Linked DNA regions of Nothobranchius furzeri. The protein of the gene in region 1 purifies or fractionates together with the protein of each later gene. This does not show direct contact. Links are inferred from orthologs where the notes say so. Each region holds a gene or a part of one and is shown on either strand. Other genes may lie near its edges.

Region 1 (4,301 bases):
TTGTCGTTTGTGAGACCTCAGGAGCTTCAGTACGTGATTATTTTAATTATCAGTCAGAGACTCCAGCTCATTTCCATGCAGATGTTTTATTTTGTCTCACTGTGGCTGCAGGAGCAGGAGGAACAGCAGGAGAAGCTGCAGCTCCTACTGTTGCTCCTGGCCCCTTACTGCGGCAGGAGCAGGAGGTGCAGCAGGAGAAGCTGCAGCTCCTACTGTTGCTCCCCTTTGCAGCAGGAGGAACAGCAGGAGAAGCTGCAGCTCCTACTGTTGCTCCTGGCCCCTTACTGCGGCAGGAGCAGGAGGTGCAGCAGGAGAAGCTGCAGCTCCTACTGTTGCTCCCCTTTGCAGCAGGAGCAGGAGGTGCAGCAGGAGAAGCTGCAGCTCCTACTGTTGCTCCCCTTTGCAGCAGGAGGAACAGCAGGAGAAGCTGCAGCTCCTACTGTTGCTCCTGGCCCCTTACTGCTGCAGGAGCAGGAGGAACGGCAGGAGAAGCTGCAGCTCCTGTTGCTCCCCTTTGCAGCAGGAGCAGGAGGTGCAGCAGGAGAAGCTGCAGCTCCTACTGTTGCTCCTGGCCCCTTACTGCGGCAGGAGCAGGAGGTGCAGCAGGAGAAGCTGCAGCTCCTGTTGCTCCCCTTTGCAGCAGGAGCAGGAGGTGCAGCAGGAGAAGCTGCAGCTCCTGTTGGTCCCCTTTGCAGCAGGAGGTGCAGCAGGAGAAGCTGCAGCTCCTGTTGGTCCCCTTTGCAGCAGGAGGTGCAGCAGGAGAAGCTGCAGCTCCTGTTGGTCCCCTTTGCAGCAGGAGGTGCAGCAGGAGAAGCTGCAGTGAAGGGACCAGGAGCAGCAACAGGGTCTGGTTTAACTGTTACTCAACAATTCTCACATTTTAAAGATGTAAGTGAATTATGTCAGAATAAACAGGCTGCTGTGTGATTTTCTGGGTTACTCACAGGAAATCACACAGCAGACTAGTGTTTCTACACAGGAAGTGACTCAACCTTCAAAACAAAAGCCTCACAGTTAGGTTTTAAGCATGTTTGTTTTTAAAAACAACTAAAAATGTCTAAATGTTTCCATTTCCGAATTGAACAGATAATTACCTTTAAAATATAATTATGGCCTGTATTTCATTTTCAAAAAATGATTTCTAATTTTATTTTATTGCACCTAATTTTTATCCTAAAGAGTGGTCTGACACTTTCTTTTATTCTGCTGACCTTTCTGTTAAAATCATCTAATTACAAAACAACTCAGAACGTTGTTATGCCATTTCATTTTCTTTGACTTCAGTGCATTCAGCAGCTGGTTTGTAGCCACCAGACCTCCAGAACAGAAGTATTCTGATTACTCTTCATTTGTCTGCAGAGACGCTCCAGTGCTGAGCAGGAGCCTCATCCTGGAACAGAAAAGGGAGGAGGCCACGCCCTGCTGCTTTAACCATAACAAGAGGTAAATTCAGCATCCTCTCTCGCTCGGACTCTCTGCCAGACGTCACAAGAGTTTAATATAATAACAGACATTTAGCTCTAAATGTTATCTCACAAGGAGGAAGTGTTGGTCTTTGTAACCCCTCACATCTGCTCCATTAAACACACGCCGCTGACGAGTCACTGATGGTTACCATGGTGACCCTAATGAGCCTCTAGTGTGAGTGAAGTCACATGTGTGTATTTTATGTTTTTGTGAGCTAACCCTTTTCTGTTTTTAAACAGGAGTCTTGAATCATTATAAACTTTTTCTCGCGGTCCTTTCTCCTCCCAGATATAGGCTTTTATTTTGAAGGTGAGCCAACCGGATGTAGTGCCCAGGTTTTTTACAGCTGTTTGACATCAATCAGGTGGGTTTGGGTCTCCCGACCAGAGGTGCAGCTGCTGTCGCTTCACATCAGGAGGAGGTGAGTCCCGGTCCGGTTCGATGGTCCGGTCCGGTTCGGTCCGCTTCATGTGTTTGTTTTATCGTGTTGGGGAAGTTAGCTGGAGTTGAGCTGTTTAATGATTGGCTGGTTCGGGTTTATTTAATATTTATTTGCTGTGTGAAGGAATCCTGCTGCAGGGTTCCGGTTCTGGTTCTGGTTCGGTCTCAGGGTTTAATCAGTCTGGTTGTTGGAACCGTCTCCCGGGGGGAGGCGGGTTCTGGAGCTGTTCGTGGGCGGGATGGGAACGGGTCAGACCTGTATGATTGTTCCCCTTTTCTCTGCTCTCCTCTCCGTCCGCGGTGAACTTCCCTCCGACCAGCTCGGGTCAGAACCAGAACCAGCTCCCCACACAGGCTGACCCAGAGCCAGCTCAGCTCGGGTCAGAACCAGAACCAGCGCCTTCTCCTCTGAAATCACTCCTGGTGATGATTCACCTCCAGCAGTAAATCACGCGCAGGCTCCGTGTTCTGGTTCTGGTTCCGTTCATTTGTTGTGAAACTGCTGTTGAAATGTTTCTGACTCAACCAGGAAGTCAGAGAAAATCTTTTCTTCTTCTTTTCTTAAATCTGTGAAAGGAGATTTGATCAGGGTGTTTTAAGCCTCTGCCTCTAACTCAAGGGATGAGCCAGCCAGACGTAAAGAAGATGAAAATATGCAGAACAAAGACTAAATCGGATGAAAGCCCGGTGGGTTGTGCAATCCCACGTTTACATGAAGGAAACGGTTGTTGTGGAAACCTGGAACTCGGCAGGAATATTCAAGCAGCCTAAACATGTCAGCAGCGGTGAAGCTCCTGAAGTTCAGTCATGGTTCTTGGTTTTGCTCCTGCCCTCGAGCTTATCAGGGGCCCATCTGGCCCTCTTTGAACCCCCTCTGGCTCCGCCCCTGGCCCCCCCTCAGAACCATAATTTGGTCTGATTTCTGGAGTCGGCTCAGTCGGGAAACACCGCGATAACTTCTGGATCATCTGGAGGTTCTTTAGTTTCGAAACTTTTAGTTTTGTCCTGTCGTTGCTTCTAGTCACCCTGATCATAGTTCTACAACAGCCTGACAGTCTGGACATCCATGATCCAGAACCACTTTAGGAGATTACCGGAACGCCGTGCTGCTGGGAGGCTGAACAGAGTCTCAGATCAGGAGATCTGCACCTCAGTGGCAACGGGCTAACGGTACTCAGCCAGGCCTGTAAACACGGCCCACAGGATGGGAGTGCTTCATTTACTTTGAGGGTGTGTGTGTGTGTTTGTGCCACACACACACACACACACACACATCCTGATGGGCGATTCCAGCCTTTAATCAATACCAGCAGCAGCTAAATGTCAGGATCCACGAGGCTCTGGAGACGGAGCAGCCTGCAGGCAGGAACCTCACCCACTCTGGAGAACGTTCTGCTCCAATTAGGAAATAACAGGAATGATCCTGGAGACCGTTTGTTCAGTTTCACATCCTGCAGCTTTGGGAGATGTACCCAATATCTGCAACAAGCTGCAGGAGGAGCCTCTAACAATAAGCCCCGCCCCCTCAGGTAAACTCGACTGTAGAAACCTGATCCAGAGTCCAACCGGGACACAGGAAGCTGGACTTTCCATGACTGAATGTTGTTCTGTCTCTGTGATGATGTCATCATATGTCTCACTGCAGTAGAACCCCTAACAGCCACTGGTGGTTGCCATAGTGATGCTATTGAACCACTGGCAGCAGCTTTAACATTTCTGCTCTGGTGCTACCTAAAATGATCTTGTTGTATAAAGGGAAGAGACGAGGCAGAAGTAGACGTATTTAAGCTTCTAAAACCTCATCAAACCGACGTTTTCCTTCGTGTTTCAACAACAGACGGCTCACACGGAGCTTATTTACTCACGGAGGGACTTTTAAACCTGCTGACGATTATCCATATTCATGTTTGTAGTGAACTGAAACCCAGCAGCAGGTTTTAGCAGCAGCAGGAGGAAACTGAAGGTTCCAGCTGCTAAACTCTGGTTTTACATTAAAATAAAAATATTTAAATGATGATAAAATCAGTTAGCACTCAGCTGCTGTGGCTTCATTAGCTGAGGTTATTTCCTGTTTGCATCTGCAGAAATCTGAATGTGGGACTTTTTTTTACTATTTCAACTTCATGGTTAAATTTGGTGCATAAACTATAATTATCCTCTAAAGTGAAACGGTTTAGTCCTAAAGTCTGCAAACGCCTGGATTATTAAACTTTTTCTAAAATGTTTGCTTCAAATAAATCAGTAAAACTTTTATTTTTCTCACAAAGTTACAAAAATGAGAACAAACCTAGGCTTTTATTTTGTTGACACCAATGATGTCTGTACTTAAATATGTTCTGTGTGTGTGTGTGTGTGTGTGTGTGTGTGTGTGTGTGTGTGTGTGTGTGTGTGTG
Region 2 (4,355 bases), on another chromosome or scaffold:
GACCAGACTCCATTGCTCAAAATCCCTCCATTTATAAGCATAAAAGCCCGTATTAGAGTAAGCTCTCGAACTCTGAACTGTGGCTACCGCTGCTGGAGGAAGACCCCTAGCTAGTTTGAAGCTGCCATTCCCCCCCCCCCCCCCCCCCCCCCCAATAAAAAGCAAAATGCCATTTTAAGTTGTGGAAAGCAAAAGCTGTTTAGACCTAGAAACTATGACTGGTGTTCAGCAAGGGAACATGACCTAGGGATGAAAGCCAACAGGAGAGGTGAGAATAATTTAGCAGATTTGCCCATGCCACTTTAAAGATATGAGAAACGGAAGGAACCTGACCTTTTGACTGAGATTTTCATTTCCCGACTCCCATGGCAAGAGCAAATCTCGCTCAGAAAATCCTTCAACAGTATTTGGCCTGGAAAATTACTGTGGCCACCCTGAAACCAAGCCAGGTGTTGGGCCCGTGCGAATGCCTGATGGCTGGGCTTAGCATTCTGGTGTCATGGACTTGTCTACTTGTGGACCCACCACCTGCAAGAGGAGCATGATGGGTCTGTGTTGGCCAGACCGAGGTGGTAGCGCTAGCAGTTGGATCCTGAATGTTTGGAACATGGAATGACAAGGAAGGAGCTGGGACTTGTGGAAGAGATTGAGCAGTACTGGCTGGATATAGATGGACACGTTTCTACACAATAGCCTTAGCTCCTGGCGTTGAGCTCTCTTCATCACTGGAGAAAGGCGAAGACCCGATGCGGCTGGTGAACCTCAGACTGTCAACCTGTATGTTGAGGTTTACCCAAGAGAATGAAAGTTTCCTTATGTGCCCAAAAGCAGCTCAGAGTACCTACCCTTTCTGTGTTGAAAATGTCAGCTTGTTGTTTGCTGGCTCTCAAACAGAACAACAAAGAATCATTCATTCTTCCACTTACATGATTTGGACTATTTTTTGACATATATGAAATAAACATTGTACATACCGGTATTTCTCAAAGAATTTCCATTACAAGAAACTTACTAGGGTCTACTTACTAGGGTCTACTTACTAGGGTCTTCTAATGTCAGTTTGAGGTGTTTTATAGTATCTGTTGTGGAGACATTGTTTTTTACTTGATTTTGTTTTTGACATATTTAATTAGATATATGTTTATTACTGTGTAAAGGATTATTGGACTTAACCGTGTGAAATTATTGATGAAAGTTTAGCATTTATAAAAACCGGTATAACAGGTATATTTTGACTATATGTTACATTGGCCTGCCATAAACCTGATTAGAAACTTGAGGCCTGCCATACAACCTGATTAGAAACTTGACCAACTTGTCCGCCTCGCATCACTTCCTCGACATTTTGTGCACTTTTCACACGTCGATCCTCCGCCGCTGTGATTGCTTCGCCGATAGACGGGGGCGGGCTCTCACTTACACCATAGGCGCTATGATTGGCCATAACTTGATAGTGGGAAGCACTCGTAACGCCGGTGTCTCCCTGGTTGCGCAAGACGCCATTTTGGAGTGACAGTAAAAGGTAACGGAAAGATCGAGAAGCTGTGTCGTTAGAGGTAACAAACTTCAGAAACACGCTCATCTCTGTACCCTTAAATAGCCTAACGCGTGGTGGTTGTTACTATATTCAAATGACTCGGTTTGAGTGGCGTTTAACATTACGTGATGGTGTTCGCTTAGCAGTGACGCGGCAATTAGCTAATGGTAGCTAGCGCGCTACATCAGTTCCTGTAACTGGTGATCTAAGATCTGTTACGGCGATTTTTTTCAACGAGCTGAACATCAGTTCCACTGGTACTTGTCAATTATGTCAGCGTTACATTTCTTCATAATGTGTCGCTATGTGTTGTTTAAAACATTTGTTGGATGAATAGTTGTCCACAATCGGCTAGCTGAAGCATCCGCCCTTAGTGAAGCTAATAGCGCTTAGCTGAAGCTAACATCCAAAGCTACCCGTTGCGTTATAATTTGTAATACAGGATTTTTCTGTTATTATTTTTCTCTTAAACACTCATCAAACCTCTGTTAGATTAAGTTGGATTGGATGTCGAGCTGCTGTTTACTTTCACGCACAATAACACTTTGCCCAACCGGAGTTTCCCATCTGGAGCAGGCCTAATCAAGGGTTAGTTAGCTGTTAGGCTAATCCGGGTGAACGAGATGGTTGGATCAGGTGATCAAGTCTGATGAATTAAGATTAATTTTTCAGAGTTTTGTTTTCTTAAAAGTTAATTGAGGAACACATGGATTGAATATTTTAGTGTTTACCCAAAAGCTAAAACTCGAATATATTTAACGCGAACTCAACTTTTCTTTTTACCCTGACTCAGTTGAAAACGGTTCCTAGTTTCACCATTAACCTTTGTCTCCCAACTTCTATAGAACACATTTCTGTATGTACCTGTCATTTCCATATTGGCTGTATTGCCTTTTGTGAAATGCCTTCTGGAGTCTTTCTGTTTGACTTAAAACTTATGTTCCTAATGATGCTCCCTCTTCTGGTGCTGCAAAAAACTAACAGCCTTACATTTAAAGTGTTGTTTAGAATGTTGGATTGGATAATTAGATTTTATTTAAGATAAGTTTACTACATTTCATCCTTTTCTACCTATGTGTCACCCTGTTTAACAGTTTCCGTTTCTTACAGCTTTGTCACCATGGGGAATGTATTTGCAAGCTTATTCAAGGGCCTGTTTGGCAAAAAAGAGATGAGAATTCTGATGGTTGGGCTCGATGCTGCTGGGAAAACAACAATCTTGTATAAACTGAAGCTTGGAGAAATAGTCACCACCATTCCAACCATTGGTACGGATTTATTTATTCATGTCAGTAGTAGGGGTAGAGCATTATGTTGGGCTGTTATTTACCATTTTTATACATCAATAGATTTATATTTGTAAGGCCAATTTATAGTCAAGCACATCCTCTGGTAACATCTTTGTTCTTGCTGTGTAGTATTTCTAATTCCATGTTGTAGTTCTTTTTAAAACGCAGAGTAGTTTTGTGTTCCTGTTTTCCCGCTACGTTTCGTTTGCAGCTGCAAACTGCGTCGAAGTTTGCAGCCGCAAACGAAACGTAGCGGGAAAACAGGTAAACAAAACTACTCTGTGTTTAAAAAGAACTACAACATGGACAACCTCTGGTAGCTCGGTGCTGTTGCAGAATTTAATTTAAATGTATTTTTACATTTGCTGATAACATCAGCATAATATGTACTCTAAATTAACTTTATTTAGTTGTCTGACTTTAACACTGAACCATGCACAAAGTTGATATTTAACAGCTAGTTAAATTCAGTAAAATTAGATGGAAAATGTCTGGATATAGGCCATGAAAATGCCAATAAAAATCAGCAGTACGTGTCAGCTGTCGGCAGATCATGTCTCCTACATACTGGCATTGGTATCAGCAATAGAAAAACCATTATTGGTCAACCTCTTGTCAGTAGTGTTGGTTATTCTTCTTGTTGGAAGGCTGCTTATCTTCAGGCTTTTATGTTATAAGGATTATTTTTGTACCAAATATAATTTTAGATAATTGTGGACCAACTGATGAGTTAGAGTTTTTCAGAAGAATAACTGTCTTAAAATACCTGCACAGATTTTGGGTCATTTTTCTAATGTTCAACCTTCAGAGACGAATGTTAGCTCCTCAACCCTGTCTTGTCTGTACACACACTGTTGGTAAATTGTGAACACTTTTTAAAATTGTTGATGCCTCACCATCTTTCCTTCTCTGGTGTGCAGGCTTTAACGTTGAAACGGTAGAATACAAGAACATCAGCTTCACAGTTTGGGATGTGGGCGGTCAGGATAAAATCAGGCCGCTGTGGCGCCACTACTTCCAGAACACTCAAGGTGAGAGGGTGTACTATATTTCAGCTGGCTGTATGTTGCTGAGCATTACTGCCCATAGGTTGCTTCATTGGTGTGTGTATGAGTTTCAAACCAGTGACTCATGGAGCTTCATTCTGTTCTTGGCGTGAAGTGGGTCTCCTGTCCAGTGATGGCACTGATCAGAAAACAGCACTGTAGAGCAGAAATGCTTAGTTTTTCCTTCCAATTTTGTCAGCTGTGTGTGAGTGAGCTCTTTGTCTTGAGTGTAACGTTGAATATGTTGATGATGTCAAAAGTGTCACTTAAGAGAATGAGTTTCAAACAGATCGCAACGTTGAATTACAGCTCCGGTAATAATTTTATATGTAGACAGAAGATTTGGTCCTAATTCTGATTTCACCTGTTGAAAAGTTGCTGCTTGCTGCAGTCTTGTTAAGATAATAAATCGGAGGCAGGCTGTGGACGTGGCTGCCATGAAAAGACTGAGTCATGCATCTTTGTGTTTTTATCTGTTTTTGC

The links.
Region 2: the proteins of pld1b (region 1) and arf2b purify together in Homo sapiens (affinity purification with western blotting; 3 studies listed by BioGRID, with this or other methods). This does not show direct contact. The link is inferred for Nothobranchius furzeri from reciprocal best matches to the Homo sapiens genes PLD1 and ARF1.

The regions. Positions count from the first base shown.
Region 1 is NC_091747.1:63,395,630-63,399,930, forward strand, and holds the start of pld1b (phospholipase D1), read left to right. Parts: upstream 1-1,371; 5' UTR 1,372-1,443; intron 1,444-1,793; exon of another isoform or gene 1,794-1,888; intron 1,889-4,301. UniProt on the Homo sapiens protein: Function as phospholipase selective for phosphatidylcholine. Implicated as a critical step in numerous cellular pathways, including signal transduction, membrane trafficking, and the regulation of mitosis.
Region 2 is NC_091756.1:54,223,034-54,227,388, forward strand, and holds the start of arf2b (ADP-ribosylation factor 2b), read left to right. Parts: upstream 1-1,393; 5' UTR 1,394-1,522; exon of another isoform or gene 1,523-1,556; intron 1,557-1,749; exon of another isoform or gene 1,750-1,794; intron 1,795-2,647; 5' UTR 2,648-2,657; coding exon 2,658-2,805; intron 2,806-3,746; coding exon 3,747-3,857; intron 3,858-4,355. UniProt on the Homo sapiens protein: Small GTPase involved in protein trafficking between different compartments. Modulates vesicle budding and uncoating within the Golgi complex. In its GTP-bound form, triggers the recruitment of coatomer proteins to the Golgi membrane.